Lytechinus pictus: one gene and its partners. The protein of the gene in region 1 purifies or fractionates together with the protein of each later gene. This does not show direct contact. Links are inferred from orthologs where the notes say so. Each region holds a gene or a part of one and is shown on either strand. Other genes may lie near its edges. The genes, in order: replication protein A 70 kDa DNA-binding subunit-like, replication factor C subunit 2-like, DNA polymerase alpha catalytic subunit-like and SWI/SNF-related matrix-associated actin-dependent regulator of chromatin subfamily A-like protein 1.

Evidence for each region.
Region 2: the proteins of replication protein A 70 kDa DNA-binding subunit-like (region 1) and replication factor C subunit 2-like purify together in Homo sapiens (affinity purification with mass spectrometry, with the first as the bait; 3 studies listed by BioGRID). This does not show direct contact. The link is inferred for Lytechinus pictus from reciprocal best matches to the Homo sapiens genes RPA1 and RFC2.
Region 3: the proteins of replication protein A 70 kDa DNA-binding subunit-like (region 1) and DNA polymerase alpha catalytic subunit-like purify together in Homo sapiens (affinity purification with mass spectrometry; 3 studies listed by BioGRID and IntAct, with this or other methods). This does not show direct contact. The link is inferred for Lytechinus pictus from reciprocal best matches to the Homo sapiens genes RPA1 and POLA1.
Region 4: the proteins of replication protein A 70 kDa DNA-binding subunit-like (region 1) and SWI/SNF-related matrix-associated actin-dependent regulator of chromatin subfamily A-like protein 1 purify together in Homo sapiens (affinity purification with mass spectrometry; 8 studies listed by BioGRID and IntAct, with this or other methods). This does not show direct contact. The link is inferred for Lytechinus pictus from reciprocal best matches to the Homo sapiens genes RPA1 and SMARCAL1.

Annotation. Positions count from the first base shown.
Region 1 is NC_087246.1:17,170,296-17,177,766, reverse strand, and holds the start of replication protein A 70 kDa DNA-binding subunit-like, read right to left. Parts: upstream 3,010-7,471; 5' UTR 2,803-3,009; coding exon 2,770-2,802; intron 829-2,769; coding exon 781-828; intron 161-780; coding exon 73-160; intron 1-72. UniProt on the Homo sapiens protein: As part of the heterotrimeric replication protein A complex (RPA/RP-A), binds and stabilizes single-stranded DNA intermediates that form during DNA replication or upon DNA stress.
Region 2 is NC_087246.1:1,561,193-1,568,082, forward strand, and holds the start of replication factor C subunit 2-like, read left to right. Parts: upstream 1-3,864; 5' UTR 3,865-3,980; coding exon 3,981-4,084; intron 4,085-6,890. Other genes in the region: gamma-tubulin complex component 4-like, read right to left, coding at 59-249, 696-808, 1,704-1,845, 3,484-3,561.
Region 3 is NC_087260.1:5,130,464-5,137,457, forward strand, and holds the start of DNA polymerase alpha catalytic subunit-like, read left to right. Parts: upstream 1-3,972; 5' UTR 3,973-4,234; coding exon 4,235-4,265; intron 4,266-6,994. UniProt on the Homo sapiens protein: Catalytic subunit of the DNA polymerase alpha complex (also known as the alpha DNA polymerase-primase complex) which plays an essential role in the initiation of DNA synthesis.
Region 4 is NC_087257.1:19,978,683-19,985,943, forward strand, and holds the start of SWI/SNF-related matrix-associated actin-dependent regulator of chromatin subfamily A-like protein 1, read left to right. Parts: upstream 1-4,241; 5' UTR 4,242-4,413; intron 4,414-7,261. UniProt on the Homo sapiens protein: ATP-dependent annealing helicase that binds selectively to fork DNA relative to ssDNA or dsDNA and catalyzes the rewinding of the stably unwound DNA. Rewinds single-stranded DNA bubbles that are stably bound by replication protein A (RPA).

The DNA of each region.
Region 1 (7,471 bases):
GTGCAAAATTTGCCACAGATGCTGTTTTTTCTTGATATGCAACTGGTTTCTTTAAACTTGAACCATCTTTACCTGTGCATGTATGCTCTCCATCTGAGAGCATAAGACGATAACGATCCACAGCTTTACCACTGGATGCTGCATTCATCTTCTTACAAGCCTGCATGAAATCAAATACCAAATAATCTATCTGGAAATTTGTGGTTTGTGTTGCCATGACAAATTTACTTTCACACATAAGGGCTTATTCTTAATTGGAATATTAACTATTAATGCATTCCCGTGTGGGTTACAAAATAACTGAGCAAAATTTAATATCAATCATTTGTTTAAAAAAAACACCTTTACATGAGTAAAAAAAAAGTTTTACTCATGTGTCCTTAGGCTTATATATCTTTTAAAATAGCATCATACCATCATCTCGTCACTAATAATTATTCTATTCATTTGAATTCACCGCACCTCAACAATAAAAAGTTTCTGGTGAGGATATGTGCATAAACATCTGAAACACTCTAGTGAAGATGAATATAAATTAACCCACCTATCCTGTTTATATGCAGAAGATCAAAATAAGATATTTACCTCAATATTAGAGAATACGAATCAGGCGAAAGTGCATGACAATCTTTCTAAGATACAATATAATTTACAGATTTAGCAGTTGGTCTGTGTGCAATTGCCGAATTGCATGTGAACTTTATGTTTACTCCAATTGTATGTTGCAGGATTTTCATTATTTTCTCATGAACCTGTTGTAATATCACCATCTATACTTACCAGAAGCTGTAATACAGGGCAACTGACAACTTTTTCTTGGAAAATGGCCTAAAAAGAAATAGAAAAAGTAAAGAAAGATGAAAAACAATTATGGTATGGGGTCTTAGAGCTATGTAGGTCCTAAAAGCTCTGCACCACTAATTTTCAATGGCAAAATGCGCACTCTATAGATCTGTAACTGGAGTGATGAATTATTCCTATCCATATTTCCTGCCGAGGCTGCAATAAATCCCAAAATGCAAAAAAAAGCAACTGAAGTTATGTACACTTTAATTATTTTCATATGGTACAATAATATGAACATATTTTGGAAGTTGAGGCACAGGAAATCCACTAATTTTTGCATGGTAAATCAAGTGCGTAGATTTAGGACCCCTTCAAAATTGCGCGGGGATATCGAAAGAGGTGTTCGGAAAATACTTATAGGAAATTCATTAGTAACTTTTTTCATACACTGTACCATTTCTCTTGGATGATTTTTAGAATATTTACCACACATAATATACTTTAAAAATTTGTTCAAATATCTTCAAATTGTGAGTTTCTATTGTTTGCAAACAAAGTTGGTAGCTTTAAGTCCCCCATACACTAAACACATTCAGATCAAGATTCAATTTTAGTATGATTAGGAGACATGTACATAGCCCATTTTAAAACCCCTCAAAGAAGTTCCGCACCTCAAGATTGAGACATACCTTCTTTTTTGTTTATACTGAAACTGAACTATGAAAAGTAAATCACTTTCTTTATTATGATTTGCCATCTGATGTGATTATGTGATCATGGAATGTGGAGTTACACTGAATATAGGACAAAGTTAAATTTTGCAAAATACATAATTTTCTAACTGGGTCATGTGGTAAGAGCATTGGACTCATGATTGCAAGGTTGTGAGTGTGAATCCCTTTGAATAAAAATGCCAAAGAGTAATTTGTGTTGTCTATAAAGAAGGTCAGCCACTAGTGACTATTACTAGTATTATACTAATTATTTATAATCACGTATTAAATTTTAGTATTTGTGAAATAAAAATTTTTATCTATAAATTGTTCTTCAAAACGGCATCGCTAATCGGATGTACGTCATAACGAAGCGGTTCAAGGGTCAGGCTGTATTGTATTTGCTTTATTGACAAACGGATCGAGGGATCTACAGGAGATCGGTCTGGTAAGAAACGTCTCATTTTTACCATTTATAGTGAAATAATTTTTATCCCTTTATACGCATTAGGGCAGGCGCATGAAAATAAAATTCATGTAAATAAAATTCACCCCTACAAACCGATTTCACCTGTGTTTACATGTGTAAACAACAACTACATGTGTCTCTTATACATATCCATATGGCCGGCGGTTAGGTTCAAGGCTCCATGATGAAGAAGTATATGTCAAAATATTAAAAAAACATCATCATGGAGTCCTCAACTTCAGGCTATGCGCAGACATGGGACACCATTTTTTTGTTCAATCTGAAAATGACTGCCGAAGGTTTTTTCCAAGAAAATCGTACAGTCATAGGGGTCTGGATCTATTTCTTTCAAATTTTTATGAGATATTTGGCACATGCACTTACTCATAACAACATATAAGGAACATTATCAAATGAAAGACTTTGCGAAATAAAAGGAAATTCATGTTAAATCTTAACTCAAATCTTTAGCATGGTTAGGCATGTAGTTTCATAGGCGCGCAGACTTGGGGACCACCAATTAATTTAGAATGTTACTTAGTGAAGAAAAGTGTAACAAGTTAGTTATGCATGCCGAACAAAAACAAAACAGAGACTGAAGCTTTTGATTTAACGTTAGGCTCAAACTTGACTCTTGATATTGAAAAATAATCAAAGAGACGAGAGTCAATGTGTTTCAGGAACTTGAGGAAGCATAAGCCATAACAATTAACATGATTTAGCAGCCGAGTCAGTCTCAGTATCAACAACAAACACTGGGTGACTGGCAGTGAACGACACCATGGATGGGCATCGACTTACCGCAATGGCTCCTCTGGTTAGCAAATTATTCATTTTCTTTATGAATTAATGTGAGCAAAAGTGGAGAATTTGTGTTTCTTTGACGAATGCTCAAACTATCTCAGGCTTCTGCACAGGTCAACATACGCATTTATTTGTTCCTATATACCAAGTATACGTGCACGGCCGTACGGGCTAAGCGCTCGCTCGAACTCAACTTCGAATCTCTCCCGCCAAGTGGCGCGAACGTGCACAGCTGATAGAAGCTAGTGTAGATTGTATGAGGCCACGCAGTACAACAGACCATTCGATCTCAACATCCACAAGCAATTCTCACAGTCAATAAGGAAAGAAAGGATCAATTACAGATTAGAATTTATCGGCCCATCTCATTGTTAAATGTAGGCTATACAATTTTGGCGAAGGTACTATCAACAAATTCCAAGGTGTTTTTACTTAAAATAAATTGAAATATTGGCCGGGAAGCAATTATTACAGACTTATAAAATGATCTTTCACACAACAAAAAGTGACATATCGGCAAATCTATTGTCCATCGATTGACTAGTGCAGGATCCTCTTAAGATTCGGAGCTGGCGAAAATAAGGTCAAGCCAAAGAGATAGTAATTTAAATTTAGAGATTTTCAATTTAAGGGTAGAATAATTTCCTTGCAAGTCATCACATAAAAAATGATGCTCTCTATGAGAACTACGGAAAATGCACACCAGGCATTTTAAAAACTTGAGGAGAGCAATATTACAAAAAAGGACACAACATATTTCTAAGACCATGCATACGGATCTATTCTCATTCTGAACAGCAGACTCAAAGAATTTCGGTTAAATATTGATTGATTGCATTGCATTGCATTTATTCTTTTTGTTTATTTCCAAAAATTACAAATAATGCAAAATATAAAATGCAGAAAATAAAACAGGGAATCCACTGCATGGAAACAGCCTGTTTATGTCTTTTACATATATACGAACTATTTATATGTAAAATGACAACAGATTATTTTGTGTTCTTTTGCAGTAAAGAAGAATAAACCTATACCTAAATCTATATATGGAAACATGGAGGAGATGGAAAGAGTGTGGGAACAAGCTAAAAGGCCGCTCCACGTAATTGGTGTGGACTCGGATCGAGGAGATGCCCAATTGTTGAATCGCATACTAGTTAAAGGACAAGTCCACTCCAACAAAAAGTTTATTTGAATAAAAAGAGAAAAATCAAACTAGCATAACACTGAAAACTTCATCAAAATCGGATGGAAAATAAGAAAGTTATGACATTTTAAAGTTTCGCTTATTTTCACAAGACAATCCTGGCCGGTATGCAAATGAGGAGACTGATGACGTCATCCACTCACTTTTACTTTTGTATTATATTATCTGAAATATGAAATATTCTAATTTTCTCCTTGTTGTCAAGTGAAACAACGATTAATTCCTCCCTGAACATGTGGAATTAACATTGTTTAATATTATACAGTGCGTCCCAGAAAAAACGAAACCGAGATTTAGCGATGATTTATCATAACTTAATCATAAATGAAATAGACAAATGACCTACCAATTTAAAGCTTAGAATCTCCTCTTTCATCTGGTCAGCGGCGTAACAGGGGTCGGTGGCCAGGGGGGGCAAGAGCCAAAAATTTCCCGGTCATATCATGGAACAGACAATGGCATCATAAGGCAAAAATTTTGAGGGGGCGATATGGCGTATCGGGCAAATATATATATACATGTATATATAAGCGAGCGAGCGAAGCGAGCGAGCAAAAATTTTGACATCTTTATTGCAAAAATCAAATTTTGTGATAGATTTTGACATAATGTTAAAAAGATATCATATTTCACCCTCCTCTTTTCTCTTTTTTTGTACGCCACGGTGAACAGGATTTTTGTTATGATTGTGAGCATCAGGGCAAAGCTCTATGCTCGAGGGGGCCGAGTATGGCGCTTCTGGCAAGAAGTAGCTTAATATAGGTCCCGAGCGAGCGAAGCGAGCGAGATTAAAAAAAATCACCTTTTCATGAGAATCTAATGAAGATAGATTTTAACGTGATATTCAGAAAAATATAATACACTTTCCTTTCTTTCCTCATATTTTTGTTTGGTTGTAGAACTTTTGGGGGCCATGGTCCAAACTCATCCATATAACAGTGCTTTATGGGTGGGGTCCAGGGCAGAGCCCCGGAACCTCTTGATATCAAAGCCATTTTAAACCTTACAGATGGCCACTTATTTTAATCAAATTGCGTGTATATTTATATAGCTTTAACACAACACATAAATTCAATGCAGTTGTGTATCGTAATCATCCAAATATTGTGAGGGGCACACCATAGCAAATGTGGGAAAATTTGTAAAAAGTCGCCAGCGAGCGAAGCGAGCCAGAAAAAAAATGGCCTGTTAAAATGAAATTCTAATTATGTGATAGATTTTTACATCATTAAAGAAAATATCATGTCATATATTTGTTTTCATTCATCTCATTTCGCTGCCTCCTTTATTTTCTTTTATTTCCCCTTGGCTGTGGAACAACCCCCCGGTACGCCAGTGCTTCAACGTAAAGCTTAATGCAGGAAGGGTCCATATAGGGGCCCGTTATAGAACCCATTAAAGGTTACAGAGGAAGAGCCCCCACTGCACGGGGTCTTGACTCTTGGACAGAGCCTTTGGAGATTTAGCAAGTTTATGATAGACTTTCATACGAAACTATGCTATATAACCATCCATTTTCTTCCCGCTCGTTATCTCAATCCTCGGCAGCCCGGTAGTGTACGTTATATTGTCCCTTTTGTTTGCCTTTTTGTCATCTTTAATTTATTTCCGTCTTACTAATCATGCTAATGTATTTGTATATCGGGGCGAATTGTTCTTTCTCACTTGTTCTTTTTTCCTTCCTTTTCCCGTTATCTTTCCGTTTTCCCTTTTTTATGTTTTTTTAGTTTTCTTTTCCCCTTTCCTTTCCCTTTCCCCTTTTTTCTTTCCTTTCCCTTTCCCTTTCTTCCCCCTTTTTTTTCTTTTTCCCGTTTTTTTTTTATTTTCCCGGTGAGCTCCGCCAGGGGGGGCAGCTTGCCCCCCCTGCCCCCCCGCCTGTTACGCCACTGCGTCTGGTATTACTTAGATTATTCCTCATTCCCGCATGATTGAGCAAAAACAATTCGAAGAAAGGATGCCAAAAACTCATTTGGCGGGGGGTATCTGAATTTCAAAAAGAAAATCACATGACTAAAAAGTTCAATATCTTCTCTTTTCTTTGATACCTAAATCACAGAAAATGGTCAAGTAGTAACAAAGTTATGATCCCTCGAAACAATGCTTGTATTTCCATAATTTCATTAAATAAACGTGTTTTCACCGGTTTCCCACTGAAGCTATCGCACGGTAACAAAAGACTTAATGCATGGCTGATCGTCAACAAAACGGAGTGTCGAGTGAGTGTGAACTCTAGCCTGTAAAACCTCTTCATTTTATGAAATTATTGAAATTCAAGCCTTATTTCAAATAACCAGAACTTTTTTATTTCTTGACCATTTTCTGTAATTGAGGTATCAAATTAAAGAGCAGATATTGAACTTTTTAAAAATGTGGTTTTCTTTTTAAAACCCAGATACGGCCCGCCAAGTGACTTTTTGGTATCCCCATTTCAAATTGTTTTTGCTCACTCATGCGTGAATGAAAAATAATCTAAGTAACTTCAGATGAAAGATGAGATTCTAAGCTTTAAAATGGTAGGTCATTTGTCTATTGTATTTGCGATTAAGTTATGATAAATCATCGATAAATCTCGGTTTCGTTTTTTGTGGGACGCACTGTATGGTTCAGTCAAGTTGGTCCTTATTGTCAAATCTGTAAAAAATGAAATAATTGTATAATTCAAACAATAAAAAACAAAAGAAAAAGTGAGTGATGGACATCATCGACTGACTCATGTTTGCATGTCACTGAGTTGTGCATATCACTGTTCTGTGAAAAATAAGCGCAACTTTAAAATGTCATAACTTTCTTATTTTACATCCGATTTTGAGAAAATTTTCAGTGTTACGCTAGTTTGATTTTTCTCTATTTATTGAAATCAACATTTTTCTGGGGTGGACTTGACCTTTAAGTATACAGTTTGTAAAAATGAGCCAAAAAAAATCAGTGAGGGGGCCAGAAATGGCCTATCAGGCAAAATTTATGTAAAGTTGTGAGCGAGCAAAGCGAGCAAGCAAAAATGTCGCCTTATTACAAAAATCTAATTTTGTGATAGATTATGACGTAATACTCAGAAAATAATCACATTTCACCCTTCTTTCTTTAATTTCTTTCCTTTTTTTCTTGGTGTTGAATTATTTTATAATACTTTATTTTATTATTATTATTTTTTTGGTGGGGGGGGGGGCAAACTCCCCAAGGCCCCCCATCTGTCCGCCACTGTTAATAGAACACTCGATGAAGCAACAACGACCCTTATCCAGATTAAAGAGAAAATACAAGAAAAGATAGGCTAGAAGAAAGGGAATTTGCTGAACACCTTAGAAAATGTGACAAATGAGACAGAGTATAGTTAAGATATAAAGAGCTATCAGGCATATCAAAGCATGATAGAGTATGCATATTATAATAGAGGGAGGTAGGGGGAGCAGCCCTGATAAGGTCAAAGGAAGGGAATGGGGTAAGGGTTGACTTGACTTAAATAATGCAGCGTTCAGAATATTATCAATAATT
Region 2 (6,890 bases), about 16 Mb from region 1:
AAACTGCCTAAACCCGATGAAACAACCAATTTGAAATCTTTTGAAAATTGAGACTCACTTCTGTAATGCTTTCTGAATAACAGGCTGACCACAATCACAGTGCCTCTGCAGTAGGTCTAGGATCTGGCCTCCATGATAGCCCTGTGTCTGGATTTGTTGAGCTAGTGATAATAGGGCTGGGAACAGGGACTGGAATGGCTCCAGGGTGTGTTGTATATGACCTACAGTCAGGTTAGGGTCTGCTAAAATCTTTGTAAGAAAAAAAAAAATATATATATATATATATATATATATATAACAAAACAAATTACAGTCATTTATCAAATCCACTCTACTTAACAAAGAACATGGAAAGTATAAAATATGAAGACATCAATAGTAATTAATTATTCAAAAACACAAATCATAAGTTGTGTGAAGAAATGAAATTTCCTGACAATTACTCTTATTCCAGACAGCTGAAGATTCTGAAAATTTTCAAAAATTTCCTGAAAGTTCCCAGCCCTTTTCAATATCATTAAAACTAAATGGTTTAAAACCAATTGAGTAGTAAACCACAGTGACAATTAGATCATATGCAAATTAAATTAAATTGTTAGTAGACCATGTGGGTTTAGCCATTCTAAAAATTAGACCATAAGAATTAGACTATTTGGTATACTTAGACTAAGTGGATATCAAGCAATAATACCTACATCCTGTTCCAGGTCTAATAGAGCTTTTCTGTATGGTTCCAGGACCTTGTCTAAACCTGAACAGAATGTCCTGAGATACAATCCATCAGGGAGTCTATCCACTGGCTTAATTTCTGAAAAGAGACAAGAACATTTCACATTAAGTGTGACCAATCTTACTATTTGCTCATATTCATGATTTATTAAAACAAAGGAAACCAAACTTCATGACTGTTTGTGAGAGAATTTATTTTAGTAATTATTTTATATAAGTTGCAGAACAATAATGTTCAGTGTTGATTCGACTGAACAATAGCATATATAGTTCCCAATTTAATGCTAATGAGATGTATTGTAGGAGATTACTTACCTTATTTTTCTAATACACCTAATACTAAACACTGCCAAAAAGGACAACTTGTTAGTTGAAAGAAATCTTTCTATTTAAAGAATTTTCTAAAGGTTTCATTATTAATATTTATGCCCAGCTATTTCTGTTTATCTCGGGTCCCCTTCCCTATCTAATATAATAAAAATTCCCTGAAACAAATCAACTTTCTAACTGAAAGATTGATTTCTGAAAAGATCTATTGTATCTAATAATACTTAATAGGAGCTTTTATGGAATGGAACAAACTCCCTCTCACAATAAGACAATCCACAACAATCGAGTCCTTTAAGAAGTCCCTTAAAACTCTTTTGTTCTAGGCAACTGCCTTCATTTAATATGTCATTCTGCTTTTTTGTTTGTATAAATATGTTAACTGAAATTGTGAGCGCTTTGGGCCATGTGGGAAAAGCGCGTTATAAATATTGAGTATTATTATTATTATTACTATTATTATGAGATTGAATGCACAATCCAATGATTGCTATTTTGTTCTCTATTGCTAACAAGATCAAACTGGGAGGAAGTATAATTTTCTCACAGAGGGGTGTGCCAAGTCTACAAACTGAATTTCAATGTAGGTCAAAGCATAACAGCACCTCAAAATAGAAAAAAAATCCTTCTGTCTTGTATAAGTTTACCTTGATTATGTTTCCCTAAGTAAGGACTGCCACTGTATCTTTTGATGAAGGTCTGGAGATTCTTATAAATAGCCCCTAAACGACAAACTCTGTTGAGTACACTGACTTCACTCACATGGATAAAAGGAAGATCTGGAACAACCTAGAGGCAAAATAAAGAAATATGATAATAAACACAGATACATGCCTTGAGATTCAAGTATGCTTTCCAAAATTTCTTGGGCCTCTGCCTCTGATATATCCTGGATCCACTCCTGGTCAAGATTACAATGTTAGTTTAGATTATACCGTTTGTTTATGAACAAATCACGTACTGCTGGCTTCATTTAAGGTGTGAAGGTTTTTCTAATTTCTTCTTTAATTTATTGTTCCAAAAAAATAATGTTTTCCAAAGATTGCCATAATTGAGGATGAACTGCAAGGTCTTTTTTCAAAGTATTTTATTCTGTTGGTGCCCTTATTTCATCAAATAATAAGAGGATTGTGCAAATGATGAATTTTGACAAAGTTAAAATTTTGCCGATGGGCTGAATTAAAACTGTGAATTTCATTAGCCCCACCATGTATCTCATCTCTATGGTCCAATCCAATCTCATTGAAACCACTGACCAAGCAATTTTTATTCATTTTCTTATTTCAATAAAAAAAAATCAATGATTTTTTACTACTCTCAATGCACAGTTTATTCAGTCTTAATTAAACCAATTTCAGGCAAACATTACTTACTTTATGAATAATAATAAAATACAACATTTATATAATGCTTAATACAATGTTTCTAAGTACTGCAAACTATCACTTACTTGCTCACTTCTTTTCCACATAAAAGGGTGGTGGGTAACGTTATATTATTGCACAGGATTTTAAATAGAGTTTACAATCGGATCAAAAATTGCAATACAATAATCTTAATTTGATTAACTCAAAGAATCATGGAAGAAGAAAAATTGAAGAAGAGGAAGAAGTAGATAGAGAAAGAGGAGAAAGAATAAGAAATAGAAGGAATAGAAGGGGAGGAGCAGGAGGAGGAAGAAGAGAAAAAAAAGAGAAGAGGAGAAGAAGAGGAAAGTGAGAACAAGCAGGAGGGGGGAGCAGGGGAAGAAGAAGACAAAGACTTTTTCAAAGAGGATGAGGAGAAGGAAGAGGAAGACAGAGAGGACACCTGAGGAAGAGGAGGAAGATTAAGAGCAGAGAAGAAAAGAAAGAAGAAGACAGCGGAGAAGTAAGAGAACAGGAAGACGAGGAAGAAGAGGGAGACAAAAAGGATGAGTAGGCTGTAGGAGGAAGATGAAGAGGGACACCTGAGGAAGAGGAGGAAGAGCTAAAGGAAGAGGAAAAAGGAGGAAGACCGAAGACAATGCCAAGCCCAAGGGGAAGAATCACTAGAGGGGAGGAGAAGAAAAACAAAATGAGGAAGTGAAGAAGGAGAAGAACAAGAACAAGAATATTTACCACAAGACAGTTCCAACCTTTCATTTTCAATTTCATTTCGACGTAGGCCTAGGCCTAGATCATCTATCTAAAACAGGAAGCAAAGCACCTAAAAAAATAAAAGTAAAACCTACCAGCACCTTTCACTTGTCACTCATCACATTCACAAGCTGTGCTTTCTTAGTTGCTACCTCTTTTGCTTTGTTCAAGTTCTTAAAATGTATTGATGCTTTATTTATCATTGGAAATAAATGTACTTCATTCATTCATTCGTTCGTTCATTCATTCATTCATTCATTCGAAATTAGCTTAACATCAATTGGAATGAATGGGACTGGAGTCTAATTACCTGTATATCACTGTGCCCATGTTCCATAAAAATACCCCCAGGAAATCCATTCAGAGCCATCAGTAAGTCATGTAACATCTTGGTTGCAATCTAGATGATCGAATCGAAGAGAAAAATCATGGATACAGACTTCTGCAGAGTCGGAATTGAATATTTATCAGGCCCGTTTCACATTAGGTTAATGAATTGTCTGCAGATAGAGTCTATTGCCTACTAGAAGAAGTTGTTCTTTGAATAATTTATATTGATTTATAAAGATGTATGATGATTCTTTGTTCCTTTAAAATAATTTATAGTTGTAGAATTTATTTTATTTTCGTCTTGCAGTTTAATTTTTATTATTTATTTTCATATTTTATTTTAAAGTACCTAATAAAATCTACTTTTTAGTACGAGCCTGTATTTCACAATCGCGCGAAACTTGTGTGGAGCTACTGTTATCTCTTAATATCATAAACGTTTTTATTAGTTAAAAATAAATTAAAGTACATATTAAAATGGATGAAGTAAAATCTAGCACTTCTTTGGATCCTAAATCCAAGTCAGGAGAATCTGGAAAGTCGGGGGGAGCTGGAAAATCGACTTCCTATGAGATGCCTTGGTAAGTGACTTAGCCTTCGCCCTTGGTCCCATTAGCTATAAAATTTGTTGGTAGAAATTCTAGAATTATTTGGGTCCAGGCCCAGGGGCCTGGGGCCTGTTGCATGAAAGGGTCTTTCGTAGAACCATTCTACGTAAGAACGAGATATCGCTCAACTGTTTCACAAAGCCGATTTGGGCGATACGAAGAATGGTCCTTGGAAAGACACCTCCAGACATGTCCTACGTAGGCATGATCTTCTTTGCACACCGCCCGCCACCGTCTGCATTGAGAGAAAATGCGTTTATGGCAAGCCACACTGACATATCACCTTTAAACATTTTTGGCGCCAAGTTATTATATGGGGGACTAGTTGTCATCAATTTTAGGTCGTCTGTTTGCACGGCAAGACGACCAAAAACAGATGTCATTTTAACTTCTCCGGGCATTATGTCCGGGGGTAATGTTGTAGGCCCAAATATTTTTATAAATATTTTTCCTTTTAAGTTTTATTCTCCGTCCTATCCCCACACCATTTCCATTAATTTTTTTTTTGAAATATCGAAATGGGTGGCACTATCTCTCTGACCCTCATGCTTTCTCATTATAGATAATTAAACAACATGAAAACAAATTTCTTTAAAATAAATTATGTAGGCCTAAGGTAAAAACGTGTTTATAACGTTTAGCAAAAAAAACACGATACAAAACTAAAATGTTAAACATGGTAAATCATTCATTTATTTTTATTTCATTTTCATTATAATTATTTTTTTTTGCTGAGATTAATTTTAATCAATAAAAATTAATTGTCGGATTTGGGCTAACTGGAGATGTGAAACAGTGAAACAAAACAAAAAATCTGCAGTAACAAAATAGCTCATTGAATTTAAGATACAGATTAGGCCTATAGCTTACGAATCCATCACAATTATTACAAATGAAGATAAGCTAGTTCATTAAAGAAAAGATTATGGAAAGTCCATACAAAGAGGCGCATTTTAAATCGTAGGGTAGGCCCTTTTCGGCCCCTATGCAATGTTAAAGCAATAATGTAGTCTCTATACTCCTCAACTTTGAAATGTTGAACATATATATTTTTTATATTCTTAAACCTTATATTCTTATATAAGCTTCCATAAATTAAGTGATCGACTTTAAAGATGACCAACGTTTATGATCATTGTAATATTTAGCATTATTTCTGTAAATAGTATTTTTTCCATTGCGGATTGCACACCGTTTTCTATGTTTTAATTGTTATTGCAAAGCACTACTTTATCCACTTGGACATGTTTGCATATTTTCCTTGTCTTCTGTTACTCATCATGCAACTGGTATGTTTATACCCTAAACACTCATATTTGTATTTCTTGCGTTATATCTGACAAATAAAATAAATAAATTAGATTTTTCACAGGCAGCCTCTCATATTTTCCATTTTAGTCTCATACAATCAGACACTGTTGATTTTGTTTACTCCATTCAAACCCTATTTTTACCTCAACAGATAACTTATTCACGCATAATTTGCAAAATCATCATTATATATATGTATTCAATAAAAAATCAGTATATTGAACTAATAAAATGTCGAAATTACTTAGTTAAATCAATTTTTATGTCGGACAAGGGTCTGTTTCGTTTAAATATCAATGAAAGGTGTCTCTAAAAGGACACTGTGTTCTAAATAAAGAAAATAATGAAAATTTCGATTTTATCCAGTTATGTTTGTGAATCTTGAAAGTTTTTTCTGTTTTTGCCTCATAAAGTACGCTCCATACATCAATTCTACAATCGGTAATAAATAAAACATTATTTGATCCCCTTTTATTGAAATATATGATTTTATGAAAAGCCGTCATTCCAAAATAAAAGGTTCAGGTGACGATGAAGACTAAATATTTTTCCGATACTATCGATATCAAACGATGTCACGGACTTGAAAGACAAAATAATTGCATTCGTGAAACGGAAAGCGCTGATTTGTCGCCAATCTTCCTATCTCGGAAGAATGGTCCTAGGACGTTCCTACGTATCGCTCATCTCGTCATGCAACATGCCCCTGTTTCACGAAGGCAATTTTGTCTTTCAAGTCCGCGACATCGTTTGATATCGATAGTATCGGAAAAATATTTAGTCTTCATCGTCACCTGAACCTTTTATTTCGGATTGATGACTTTTCATAAAATCATATATTTCAATAAAAGGGGATCAAATAATGTTTTATTTATTACTGATTGTAGAATTGATGTATGGAGCGTACTTTATGAGGTAAAAAGAGAAAAAACTTTCAAGATTCACAAACATAACTGGATAAAATCGAAATTTTCATTATTTCACTTATTTAGAACACGGTGTCCTTTTAGAGACACCTTTCATTGATATTTCTACGAAAGAGACCCTTGTCCGACATAAAAATTGATTTAACTAAGTAATTTCGACATTTTATTAGTTCAATATACTGATTTATTATAGAAAACATATATATAATGATGATTTTGCAAATTATGCGTTAATATGTTATCTGTTGAGGTAAAAATAGGGTTTGAATGGAGTAAACAAAATCAACAGTGTCTGATTGTATGAGACTAAAAAGGAAAATATGAGAGGCTGCATGTGAAAAATCTAATTTATTTATTTTATTTGTCAGATATAACGCAAGAAATACAAATGTGAGTGTTTAGAGTATAAACATACCTCAGTTGCATGATGAGTAACCGAAGACAAGGAAAATATGAAAATTGCTGCAAACATGTCCAAGTGGATAAAGTAGTGCTTTGCAATAACAATTAAAACATAGAAAAATGTGTGCAATCCGCAATGG
Region 3 (6,994 bases), on another chromosome or scaffold:
GAAGTAGGTAATTTTTATATCATAGACCAGGGCAACTTTGCATACAAGCTAATATAATGGTAATTTTGCCATCCCATGGTAATGCTAATCACCAACCAATCAAAATCAAAGATTCCAGACAAGTTACCCCGGAATGGCAAAGTTTACCATATTACAATATTCTATGAAATTGGGTCTTTGTGATCAGTTTCCAGTACTGTATCACAGGAAACAATCATGTATCTGATCAATTACCTGTTTTACATATTAAAAATGTCACAAGGGGAGTTTTGAAATTACTATTATGAACATTATATGACTTAATTCCTATCACTTTATTTTTTATAAATCAACTTGATTCAAAGCCAACCTGTAAATAGTAGGATGCTTCTCTTATCTGAGGGGTGTAGGACTGACCAATCTTGGTTTGGATTTGTTGAGGATGATGGGACTTGTTTTTTTCATCTTGAAGATTTTCAACAGTTTCTTTGAGTTGTTCAATCTCCTGTTGCTTCTGGGCGACCTTGATTTTTTCTTGCTCTGTGTATTTCTTTTGAATTCTTTGACGTCTTCTCTTTTCTTCTTGCAATTGTGCTCGAAGTCTCGTAATTTCAATTGTCTTCCGTTTTTCTTCACTCTTTGTCATTTGGTAGTTTATCCTCCATTCCCTTTTAGATTGTTTAAGTCGCTTTATTGTTTCGGTAATCCGTTTTCTTCCACCTCTTACACTGCCAAATATAGATGTGAAAGACTGAACCTTTTCTTTATTCTTTTTCAGTTCCTTCTCAAGGTGCTTCACTTTCTTCTTGTAAGTCATTACTTCCCTCTCTGTTTTTTGTACTATGTCCTTGAATCTCTCAAGTTCTTTTCCTAAATTTTCTACTTGATCATTTGAATAGACTTTTCTCTTTTTAGGACTAGCAGCATCGTGATCTTGGTCTACTTTAGCATTCTTTGGAGGTTGAACAATTTTTCCTGGGGGCTCGAAAGGTTCTTGCAGATAGTTGACCTTCACATCATTTTGGTCTTTAGTTTGTTTTGTTTTGTTTAGTTTCATGTACCTTCCATAGATCCTTGTTAACTTGGTCTGAAGGGCCTTTAAAGAACATTCAGAGTCATATTTGTTTTGAACTATTTCATGAAATTGTGACCATGTAATTCCCTCTCCTCTTGTGAGTTTTGGCAGTAGATCAATGACAACTCCATTAGTAATCCTATCAGCTGGTAGCTGGAGCAGATGATCCACCTCTTCTGACATTTTGGCCATGATCTTATATTAAAGCCAAATAATAATATCTGGAAGGCAAAATAATGATGCAACCTTGCTGAAAAAACCCTTTAAACAATTGAATAATAGTTATTACAATTCCATAATTCAGATTTTCGACCACAGTTCATATATGAAGAAAAATTCCTGAGAACGTAAGTGCCATTAAGATAAAAATCATGACACCTCATGATAAAATACTGGAAGAAAAATTACTCCCCCCCTCCCCTTTCCCAGTGCAGTGCAGAAAAAAATATGTGCAATAATGGTGCTGAAATTGTTAGGAGTACATGACACAGAAATCATTTTTTTCCAAGAATTTTGCGAGAACAAAACATGAAAAATAGAACGAAAAATTCAAACAAAACAGAACTCTAAATAATAAAAAAATAATAGATAAGAATCTTATGTTTCTTTCTTGAATATTTAAATTTCTCAAGCTAGTCATATGCTAGCTGTAATCCAGCATAGAGATCTTGTCATGTGGCATTAGCCAGATATGGTCGTTCATGGCTTCATCCTTGGCCTGGACTGATGTTCACAATCGGCCTGGAAATTTTCTCGCCAGTCGCCAGACATGCGGATGATGAGTTGATAATGGACTCGATTTAGCGTTTTCAGGAATAGATTACGAAACCTGAAGGAAACAAAAATAATAATAAAAGAAAATAAATCAAATCATAGTAAAAAAGATTGTCAATAAGGGCTTTGAAAATAAAAATACATGTGATTTTCATAGAGATTTAAAGGAAAAAAATCATAATATAGAACGGAGCACCTCCCCCCCCCCCCCTTTCACCAATTTATTTCTGAAAAAAAATGTAGCATTTTACAATTTATTAGTTTACAAATAGAAACACTGAGTGTGTAAAATAATCGATTTCCCCAAGTCTATAATAGATCAAATATTCATAAAAGGAAAAAAAATTTAAAAAATCATACCATATTCCGATATCAATACATGATCTAAAAATAAAAAATAAACTGAAGACAGTGAAAACAAGTAAAAACAAAAGTCTGAGAATAAGATGTAAATCCATCATGATTCATAATGAACAGGAAATAATAGGTTGTGTGCTTTGTTATGCATCTAGTTCATTGTAATATAACAAATTTTTAAAGTGAATAAAATGTTAAATTGGTCCATGACTAACTAATGAAGAAAATAATATTACCTACGTAATAAGTGAGTGCAAATGTGCACACTGAAAGCGATACGCGGGACTGTGCAGGGCAGATGAAGCAGACGCCAAATCCCCCCCGCGAAATTCAAGAGCGCGAAGGCGCTAAATCGCGACAATTTTGCCTGCAACAGGCCTGTGCATCAAGCTGAATCGCTTTCATCCGCTAAGTTCTTCCCACGTAATTTCGGTGTTAAATTAAAGCTTAGAATTTCATCTTCATCATGAATCATGATGCATCAGTGTGCAAGTAATATAATTATTCATAAAAGTCAAGATTTCTACAAAATCAGGCAAATTTGGTACTTACAAGTGATTTTCCAGGCCTCTCGATCGTCGTTCGTTGGTTCGCTGGAAGTGCCGATGAGTCAGATGGTAAGTCTATACGTCACACAGCCATATGGTGTCTAAATCATTTTTCTAGCATTCGATATATACATGTATGAGTGGATTGAAGAACGCCATGCCATGGCTCTGGAGCTCAATTTCGCTTCGTCACGCTGCCGCCGCCGGTCGCAATTTTTGTACAGCGAACGGAGCTCGCGAAAAAGCGCCCTCTTGTGATGCGTGAGCGTGCCTATCTAGGCTCTACTCTACTCTCTATTTTTTAGTCTAGACTCTAGTCTCTAGTACTCTACTGACTCGTACTCGTTTGACCTTCATCCATATAATCGTGGTAAGTGCATAATTTCTGTTTTCACAATTCATTTGGAGAAATATTTAGACCATAAATCACGCTAGTCCTGTGAGTATGGTCAAATACACGGTAAGCCCCTGGGCTCCCGCCCGCTGCGCGGGGGGGAGTTCCCTGGGTTACCCCTCTGCCGGCTGCCTCGGCCCGGCTCTGCCTCTGCACTGCCTGGACCTCTGCTTCTGGCTCTGGCAGGATTTCCGGCGAGGAAAAGCATTAGTAATTCCATGAATAATTGTAAATGATTTTTCCTGAATCAGCACTAGGGAAGGGTTCGGGACATAAACCCCCGGAATATACTTGAATAAACCTAAAAAGAAAGCAAAACGTATTTTATCAACTTAAAAAATATTTACCCGAGCCTGGTCCTTGCTCCGGATCCGAGCTGAGGGTGCGGGTACGTGGATTAAGTTGAGGCCAATTTTAATTGTTTTAATTCATTTAAAAACTTATTTTTTTTTAAATATGCATATAAAATCATCAACTAAAAGGTAAAAATATATGATTTGAATATATTTATTTTATTTATCTACACTTAGGAATTGAAACAAAATAATAACTCAAAACTTTTAAAATATATTAATTATAAATTTTAGAGAGATTGTTGTGGACGAGTTCACTTATTATGAATGGAAAGCTGATAAAGAATACTTTATTCAAATCTATATTCCCAATTCTATTTTACATAAGCTTATGATAAAACCTTAAAATAATAATAAAATATGTATCCTTGAATTTTTCTGATACATTTAAACCATTTTAAGGATTTCGTGTAAATTAGTTTTAGATTTGCAATATGATATTTACCCATCTAACAAAATGGACCAGTCTAAATCAAATTTCGCGCGGAGTTTGTTTTTCTGGCGCGCCATTGTTCATGTCGATCCCCAAGTACGGGGACGGAAGCGCCGGTACGGTGAGCGAAGTGGCACTATTTTATCACGGCAGTCCGTCCGCCTGATCTTTCGACGGTGCCCGGTCTACAGTACAGGCTTGTGTTTCCTCGGCTTCACTTGGGCCTGGGCAGATTCGATGCTTCACGACTGACACAATTTACCCACACGCTCCCCTTACCTGGCTGCTGATTTGCTGCTGATTTAGATCTAGATCCAGAGGATGGCACCAGTGATGGATGACAGAGAAAATGGTAAAAAAAGTTAGGATGGGGGTCGAGTGTCCGGACACTTTAAAAATTTTGAAGCCTCCTTTTTTGTCATTGACGCTCTCCGTTCTCACTAACAAGTAACATAACGTTACCGTCCTTAGTAAAACTAACTAGTAGTAACTCATCTAGTTTTCTGGAAACTAGTTAAACATGTATTGTACTAGACAGCTGGCAGCCGTCTGTTTCGAGGAGTTTTTTAACATTTTTTTTTTTTTAATTTCTCCTCATACTGTCATACACAGACGTGAGACGGCTCGCTAGCGTGCAGCCACCATTAGGGGACTTGCAATGCAAAATCCCCCCGTCGGGGCTCTTCAATTTTTGTCTTTAATGAGTACAAATTTTGAAAATTCACGCGACCAAAATGCAAATTAACATTCCCTCTTGGCATCAATTGCCAAAAAACGGAGAAAAATCAAGTTAAAAGGAACAAAAATAGTGACTTACCTCGGCTATCGCGCAAATTCACTTCCCCGTTTTATCCGATCTTAAGTACATAAACATATGGCCATTGAGTCCCCTGTACAGATCGCGCTAGAACTTCGGTCTCTGTATTTGGTGGGTGAAGCCAACGGAGTTCAGCTGAACAACCAACATAACAGAGACCGAAGCTTTTGGTCTAGTATTGTACATGAATGGTTGAAGTGGTCTTTCAATGATTTAAACCACTTCACGTCTTTAATAGGTTAGTTACATGAAATGTAATTGTATTTGTAAGTGGTTTTGACAACCACTTTTAATCGGGTGATCAAAAATGTGACTTCTCGAAACTAGACACAAGTCGCGTGGTGAGAAGTTGATATAAATAATGGCAAAGTACAAAAAAGTACTTGAACGTTTTGAAAATTTCGATTTCTTCATATTGTGGATCTTGGCCCTCTCTACCGTGTTTCAAGTTCAAGAATGGTCTGTAATTTAGCAAAAGGGATAGGCCCTAGATCAAGTCAAAGACAAAGCCAAGTGAAAGTGCAGAAAAACAGTTTCTCTGCGAGTAGATCTAGATCTATTTTTTTTTTTGGTTTATAAAACGAGCGAGGTTTGGGAAAGCTTAATTTAGACGTCAATTTTCCCTCTGCATAAAGCTCCGCCCCCTAGCGACACATGCATTCACTAATTATTGGTCATTCATCACGTGATTTCGGCAATGAAATTACGCAATTTATGACGTGTGCTTAAGTTCAATTCATGATCACTGCACTGTTCGGACGATTCAAACCAAAAAATTGAATTTGAATAAAGTAATTGAGCAAGAAATCCATGATCAAGGGTGGTACTTAAAAGCGTACATGTTTTGGAAAGAGGTGCCAGGCGTGTATCAAGATAAAACGAGCGCCTGCTGGACAAAAGAGTTAAACGCTAAGAGGTTTGAAAGAAGTTTTAATGGTTTGATAATCATGACTCATTAAGATGATACAAAAGCGAGGACAAAAGGCGATCGATGGACCTGACCCTCCCCTCATCCTCCGGGTCTGAGAAAGACAGAACAAAGCCTAAGGTCAGCGAATTCTATAGGGATGGGCCAGATCAGCATGGGTCGGGGATAGTGAGGATCGAGGGATAAATAGAGCAACCACTAAAAGAAGGTGAAAGAAGGCAGTTGACTTTTGGGTTTAAATTTGATTGCAAGTTAAAGTCTAGAAGCTAGAAGGGCACTGGAAAAAGAGCATTATTCTGATCACGCTCGGGCTCTTTCACTTCGCTCCAGTGTTTTGAATAAAACACCAGATGACACTTTGAAAAGAGAGATCAATTTTAAAACTGAGCTACAAAATGTGTTTTTAAAGTGAATACGAGTATTTTGGTAAGAGTTCCATATGCACCCCCCACTAAAATTGAAAATAAAAACATGGAGAAGGTTCAGAATAATATATCTAGCCCTAATATCGAACATACATGTATATGATGGGGAAGTGAAAATACATACCAAAATATGGCTTTATTCCGTCAAATTTCGAGCAAGATCTTGTGCGTGTAATTGTCCATAGACATCGGTTTATTTAGTCAGTAAAGGGTCTGCGAGTCAAGACTAGTCGAACTATCGGCTGATAATCGTAAAAATACCCCTTCCGGTATCAGCGCTTCTTGCTAGCATAGCGGGAAAGGTCTTGACTGCAGATCAAACGAGGTGAGTTCGAGTCCCAACTAAGGTAAGCAACAGTAAAAAAAATGATAGAAAAATCTGAAGTGAACGAACCGGAAGTCTCAACAATCTTTTGTTATTTTTGGTGGGGGGTGCATATGGAACTCTTTCCAGTATTTTCAGTGAAAAAAAGAAAAAGAAAGGGGCGGCAGATCCAGGGTGAGAACACGATAAAAAACAAATTTTACACAAAATATTCATGCGTAGAATCCACAAAAAACAATTGATTTGTCAGTACTAATTCTTTAAAACATTGATTCTTTAAAATTTTGATTTAATACTTATAACTTTATTTTTAAATTGGACAAAAAAGATTTAAAAAAACAAGAAGTAAAATGCAGAGAAGTAGAAAGATGACATGACAAAAATTATATTGTGTTTTGATGGAAAGTGTAGTTTGACCAACTCAAATACTCTTGTAAAAACTTGGTTTAATGAAGATGCATTACAGGGCGGCTCACCAGCTCATCTTAAAGAAGGTGTGAAAAAATGTTTGAAAAAAGGAAGAGTTAAGAAAATAGGGGAAAACGTCCGATTGGTCAATAATCGTGACCATTGTGCCTATGGTTCT
Region 4 (7,261 bases), on another chromosome or scaffold:
TTAAAATCCCCCTTTTCTGACAGTTTATCAAAAATTTCGTTTCGCGATTTGCGCTTGCATTAGTATTTACAAAATATCAACTCATGAATCCTATTCATATTTACAAAAGTGCTTATATCCGGTTTTCAGGCCTCACTGTCAACAAATTTCACTCACTCACTAAATTAATCCCATGATGGTGATATAACAAGAGGAGTTCCAATTTTTCTGTGTGAATTTTTCTTAGCACAGAGGTATAGAAGCCATTAGGCTTATTACATTAATAAATATGATAATAAAATTTTCATGAATTCCTAAATAACTAAATTGTTCCTTTTTCAGAAAAATATCGACAAGTTTCATATCGCGCTCGCACTAATTAAATAGGGCTTATGAGATTATTACACTTTTATGTTGTTTTATAAGAATAAAGCTAAGAAATGACTGTTATGACATGGGCGTTTTGCCCCCCCCCTCCAATTTTTCACGACCAAGAAAAAAAAGAGAAAAGGAAAGGGATAATGGTGAAATATAGGCCTATTATTTTCCAAGTGTTATGTAAAAATCTATCACAAACTGATTTTTCTAATTAGAATGTCGAATTTTTTGCTCGCTTGCTTCACTCTCTCGCAAGTTCTTAATTTTAAGCGATACACCGTATCGAGCCCCCTCAATTTTTTTTGGCTCATTACGCCACTGGGACAACCGGCCCCTTCAAAGAAACAAACAAAAATCAACTTTGAGCGGCCGATAGGGGAAAATATGGCCGGTGAAACAAACTTTTCGCCCCCCCCCCCTATTGGCGGAAGCTGGATCCGCCCCTGTACTTTTGTTACTTTTTCTTTTCCTCAAAACTCATGTTAATGAAAATGGTACACATGTTTTTGTATTTTGTCCGTTTTTCAATGAACAGAATATTGGTTGATGCCATGAGGTTCAATAATTTCTATTCGATTCAACTGATTCGTCATTTACCTGTGGATTGCCATTTTTTAAAGGACAAGTTCACCCCAACAAAAAGCTGATTTGAATAGAAAGAGAAAATTCAAACAAGCACAACACTGAAAATTTCATCAAAATCGGATGTAAAATAAGAAAGTTATGATATTTTAAAGTTTCACTTAATTTCACAAAACAGTTATATGCACATCCTGTTCGGTATGCAAATGAGGGGACTGATGACATATCACCCACTCATTATTTCTTTTGTATTTTATTATATGAAATATGAAATAGTTTGATTTTCTCATCATTGTCATGTGAAACGAAGTTTCATTCCTCCCTGGACACGTGGATCTCCATTATTTTAACATTTTGTGGTTCAGGCAAGGAGGTCCTAATTGTCAAATTCGTAAAAATTGAAATATTGTATAATTCAAACAATAAATAACAAAAGAAATAGTGAGTGGGTGACATCATCGACTCTCTCAGTATATCACTGAGTTGAGCACAGAACTGTTTTGTGAAAAATAAGCGAAACTTTAAAATTTCATAATTTTCTTATTTTACATCCGATTTTGATGAAGTTTTCAGTGTTATTCATGTTTGATGTTTCTCTATTTATTTAAATCTACTGTTTTCTGGGGTGGACTTGACCTTTAAAGCCGCCACAGACATCTGCCCGAATTATCTGCAACGTACCCACAGATGAAAGATGTATGTATACAGAGCTGATTATACGTTCATTGTAATTTTAAGCTGAGTATATAGTATTATAATAGGCTTATAGGCTATCACGTGGAGCGTTGTGGCCCAGTGGATTAGTCTTCGGACTTTGAAACAGAGGGTCGTGGGTTCGAATCCCAGCCATGGCGTAATTTCCTTCAGCAAGAAACTGATCCACAGTGTGCTGCACTCAACCCAGGTGAGGTAAATGGGTACCGGTAGGAAGTTATTCCTTAAAAAGCTGTGTGCGCTATGAACGCCTAGCTTAGCCGATTAATATAGGAGCGCCTTGAGCACCTAACAAGGTGGATATGTGCGCAATATAAATACCCTATATTATTATTATTATATACTGTTAAAGATAATTTAAACAACGTTTACTATGTGAATCGCACAATAGTTGTTTAAACTGCATTTTTATAAGTTAAAAAAAACATGCTTAAATTATTGATTATTAAATATTTGAATTTAAACTTTGTTGTTTAAGATTTTAAACACTTGGTATAAATGTATAGTTTAGCATAACTAATTTATTGGTTGGATTGCTTAACTAAGCTAGTCGTACAGACTGTTTCACCCTAATTAGGCTCATCAGCGACTCTGAAGTTTAGCATAACTTAATTTCCAGGGGTACTATACGACATACGCAGCATCCCTTGGAAATCAAGTTGTTATGCTGCATGTAGACGTCGTTTGACCAAAAATCACTTTCATTTTGGAACAATAAATAACCTGGGTTTTTCCGGGGGGATGACCCAAAACACCTTCATTTTGCTTTTTTTCCCCAAAGCAGCACCCTCTTCAAAAATGGTTCAGACCCCGCCGCATCACAGTCATACATGGGCGAATCCAGGGACCCCAAGAACCCCCCCCCCCCCATTGGCGGCGCAAAAAAGAGAAAAAAACAAAGGGGGAAGAAAGCTAGGTGGGAAAAATAAAAAGAAGGAAAACTTGAGGAAAAAAGATGGAGGGGAAAATAAAAGGAAGAAGGCGAGTGAATTAAGTAATGTGAGTGCAGATTTTAGAATTGAAAAAAAAAATCGCTCTCGCTTCGCGCTTGCATTGCCTGTTTGATGATATAGCCTACATATATCTTGCTCAATCGACTGAAATAGTGCTTAAAATATCCAGTTTTTAAAGGACAAGTCGATCCAACCCAACAAAAAGTTGATTTGAATAAAAAGAGAAAAATCCAACAAGCAAAACACTGAAAACTTCATCAAAATCGGAGTGAAAAAAAAAGAAAAAGTTATGACATTTCAAAGTTTTGCTTAATTTCGATCACAAAACAGTTATAAGCACATCCTGGTCGGTATGCAAATGAGGAGACTGATGACGTCATCCACTCACCTATTTCTTATTTTACTACATGAAATATGAAATATTCTAATTTTCTCCTCATTGTCAAGTGAAACATAACGATTGATTCATCCATGAACATGAAATAGCATTGCTTAAACTATATGATTCAGTCAAGTTGGTCCCTATTGTCAAATCTGTAAAAAATGAAATATTGTATTCAAACAATGAAAAACAAAAGAAATAGTGAGTGACGGACATTATTATAGACCGTCTCATTTGCATGTCACTGAGTTGTGCATATCACTGTTTTGTGAAAAATAAGTGAAACTTTAAAATGTCATAGCCTTCTTATTTTACATCCGATTTTGATGAAATTTTCTGCGTTATGCTAGTTTGATTTTTCTCTATTTTTTCAAATCAACATTTTTCTGGGGTGGACTTGACCTTTAAGTCAATATACAAAACGAATTTCAGCTAGGACATCGATCGAGCTTTCATTATGATTTTGTTTGCTTTACAAATTGATTTTTTTTAAAGTGCTCTCATGTAAAATGTATCGTTTTATAATTGGTCTGAATATCACAATTTTTCAGCTCGCGCTGCGTGCTCGCATTATTTGATTTTTGAAGTAGACCTATACCAACAGGTATATATTCTCTTCGTGTATAAAGATCCCTTTCTATATATATATATTTATATATTTATATATACATTTATATAGTTTTCAGGCCTTATACACTGTATCAACAAATTTCGCGCTCTCATTAGGCCTGTTATGAGATATGATCCTTTTTTATGAATTCTTAATCCTGTTCCCTTGGCCAGATGTCCCGTTCCTTTGTCAAAGCTACGCAGCCTGTTCTTTATATAATTCGTGCTTAAATAACCCAGTTTCAAAGCAAAATATTAAAAGATTTCTCCCCCCCCCATCATTCTCGTTCCCATTATTATTGTAGAAAGATTCACATCCTTTTCAAATACTAGTAATAGACAGTCATGTTTTTAGGTCTAAATCCAAATTAGGGGGTTATTTTGCACACAGAGAAAAAACTCGTTTAGGGGGTGTTGGAAATAATTTCACGCATGTGTACGTGTACAGCAATACATTTGACTGCCCCCGGACATTTGTGCTAATTAATTGCTAGTCGATGTGTGAAGATTCACTTTTTAAAAATCAGTTTCAATTGGGGTCTGTGCCTGCAGACTATAGAATCACCAGCGCAATGCTTGTTTGAAGTATATGTAACCAAAAATTTGATTGGCTTACGGAAGAGTACACACAGAAGAAGTTAACAGTACACGGGATGTGATTGGATTACCACGCACGGTCATTTACGTCGACTGCTAGCTAAGGTTTGGCAGAATTCCAGTTTGCAGTTCAAACGGCTCTGGTCGGTCCCTGATGACAGTTTAAATGAAGCAATCAACAGATTGATATCATCTTGAAGACAAGAGACGAATTTACGGGTAAGTAGTATAGCTAAGTAAATGAGATCGTTCAATTCAGAGATAATAAATACGAACCTGCAGGCAGCTGATGCGCCGCCTGGCCCCGGATGAGTTTGTGGGCTGACAGCGAGAATGACACCCTGGAGTATACGGGTGAGCTTGGGGCGCTTCCAACGTCCACCGCGCTCCCATTGCCATTGGACACGGGTATCGGCGTTATCTGAGTCTGAGCTGAGGCGAGCTGTCCTATTTGAGGTCAGAGGAGCTAACTAAAGTTTAGGAGGTGGTGCATTGAAATTCGGTCTGTCTCAGAAACATAGATTTATTAGTTCTTAATTTTACTGTTTTTTTTTTCTAGCTTGAGAAAACTGTTGTGAATTGATTTGAATTGTGCATTAATTGGGGTTATTTGTGGTGCATTGGCTTGCCAAAATTTTGTGATTGTTTGTGGGCATGTGATGTGGCATCAGACAGTAGACTAACAAGTTTTAGAGCCTTGGCTTGAGGCGCAGCGTGGCCTTGAGGCTTGAGGACTCCGTGATGATATTTAAAAATATTTTTACATATGATATACTTTTACATGATCACGAAGCCTTGAAACCCTCGGATACCCTCCCCATCATGCCCATACTTGCCTAAGGCTAAGCGGGACATATCGACATGTAAACACGGATGGATTTCCCTAGGAAGTCCATAATTAAAGCTAGAAATCACGTAAATTTGTTGGATTTTATTTATCTTTGTATACACCTTCATACGCCTAATGCGTATGAAGGTACGAAAAAACTGTTAGTACACTCGACAAAAAAAGTTCTTGGACACTTATAAAAGTTAAAATATTCCATATAGATATGATTAAAGGCAAATTATTGTCAGTTAACATGACCAGACAATATTCCTCTTCCAGTATGACATGACATTTTCATGTGAACAGTCATGCATGGGTGGTTAAATGCTTTAAACAATACAATAGCAATGTCAGTAAAAGAAAATTGCAAGAAATGGCTAATGATCATGGCCATCCTGTAGGCATACATTCAACAATTTCAACAGGTGGTTATCATTTGAATTGAATGCTTAGGGATGCATCATAAGATGCAAAATGAGATGGATCATTTGGACACTCACTTTCAAGATGAAGCTTTCCAACCAAGAGTGTGCAAGAGCAATAGAAATGTTGCAGTCTGGGCAGTCATTTAGACAAGTGGCTCGATATTTCCAAGTTTCACCAACAACAATTTCAAATTTGAACCAGCGGTATTTGGCTACTGAAGTTAGAGACCGCCCTAGGAGTGGTCGACCTAGGGCCACCAACCCTGCAGAAGATAGGATAAGGATAATTTTCTTTTGCTTATGCCAAGATACTGAAATTTGACCCTTTTTTTTATCGACTAACTTTGACTTAAAATTCCAGTGGAATAGTGATGCATCCAAGGTGGATAACTTTCTCTTCACTTTTAGAGTGGTATTTGACTTTAAGTTTTCTTTTATCGTTTAATGGATATTCATGCCACACAAACTTTCACAACTGAAAGAATGACTGATCGTTTTCTTGCAATTTTCTTTTACTGACATTGCTATTGTTTAATGCCTGTAACCAGGCATTAAAGCTTGAGAAAACTTGAGAAAACTGTTGTGAATTGATTTGAATTGTGCATTAATTGGGGTTATTTGTGGTGCATTGGCTTGCCAAAATTTTGTGATTGTTTGTGGGCATGTGATGTGGCATCAGACAGTAGACTAACAAGTTTTAGAGCCTTGGCTTGAGGCGCAGCGTGGCCTTGAGGCTTGAGGACTCCGTGATGATATTTAAAAATATTTTTACATATGATATACTTTTACATGATCACGAAGCCTTGAAACCCTCGGATACCCTCCCCATCATGCCCATACTTGCCTAAGGCTAAGCGGGACATATCGACATGTAAACACGGATGGATTTCCCTAGGAAGTCCATAATTAAAGCTAGAAATCACGTAAATTTGTTGGATTTTATTTATCTTTGTATACACCTTCATACGCCTAATGCGTATGAAGGTACGAAAAAACTGTTAGTACACTCGACAAAAAAAGTTCTTGAACACTTATAAAAGTTAAAATATTCCATATAGATATGATTAAAGGCAAATTATTGTCAGTTAACATGACCAGACAATATTCCTCTTCCAGTATGACATGACATTTTCATGTGAACAGTCATGCATGGGTGGTTAAATGCTTTAAACAATACAATAGCAATGTCAGTAAAAGAAAATTGCAAGAAATGGCTAATGATCATGGCCATCCTGTAGGCATACATTCAACAATTTCAACAGGTGGTTATCATTTGAATTGAATGCTTAGGGATGCATCATAAGATGCAAAATGAGATGGATCATTTGGACACTCACTTTCAAGATGAAGCTTTCCAACCAAGAGTGTGCAAGAGCAATAGAAATGTTGCAGTCTGGGCAGTCATTTAGACAAGTGGCTCGATATTTCCAAGTTTCACCAACAACAATTTCAAATTTGAACCAGCGGTATTTGGCTACTGAAGTTAGAGACCGCCCTAGGAGTGGTCGACCTAGGGCCACCAACCCTGCAGAAGATAGGATAAGGATAATTTTCTTTTGCTTATGCCAAGATACTGAAATTTGACCCTTTTTTTTATCGACTAACTTTGACTTAAAATTCCAGTGGAATAGTGATGCATCCAAGGTGGATAACTTTCTCTTCACTTTTAGAGTGGTATTTGACTTTAAGTTTTCTTTTATCGTTTAATGGATATTCATGCCACACAAACTTTCACAACTGAAAGAATGACTGATCGTTTTCTTGCAATTTTCTTTTACTGACATTGCTATTGTTTAATGCCTGTAACCAGCCA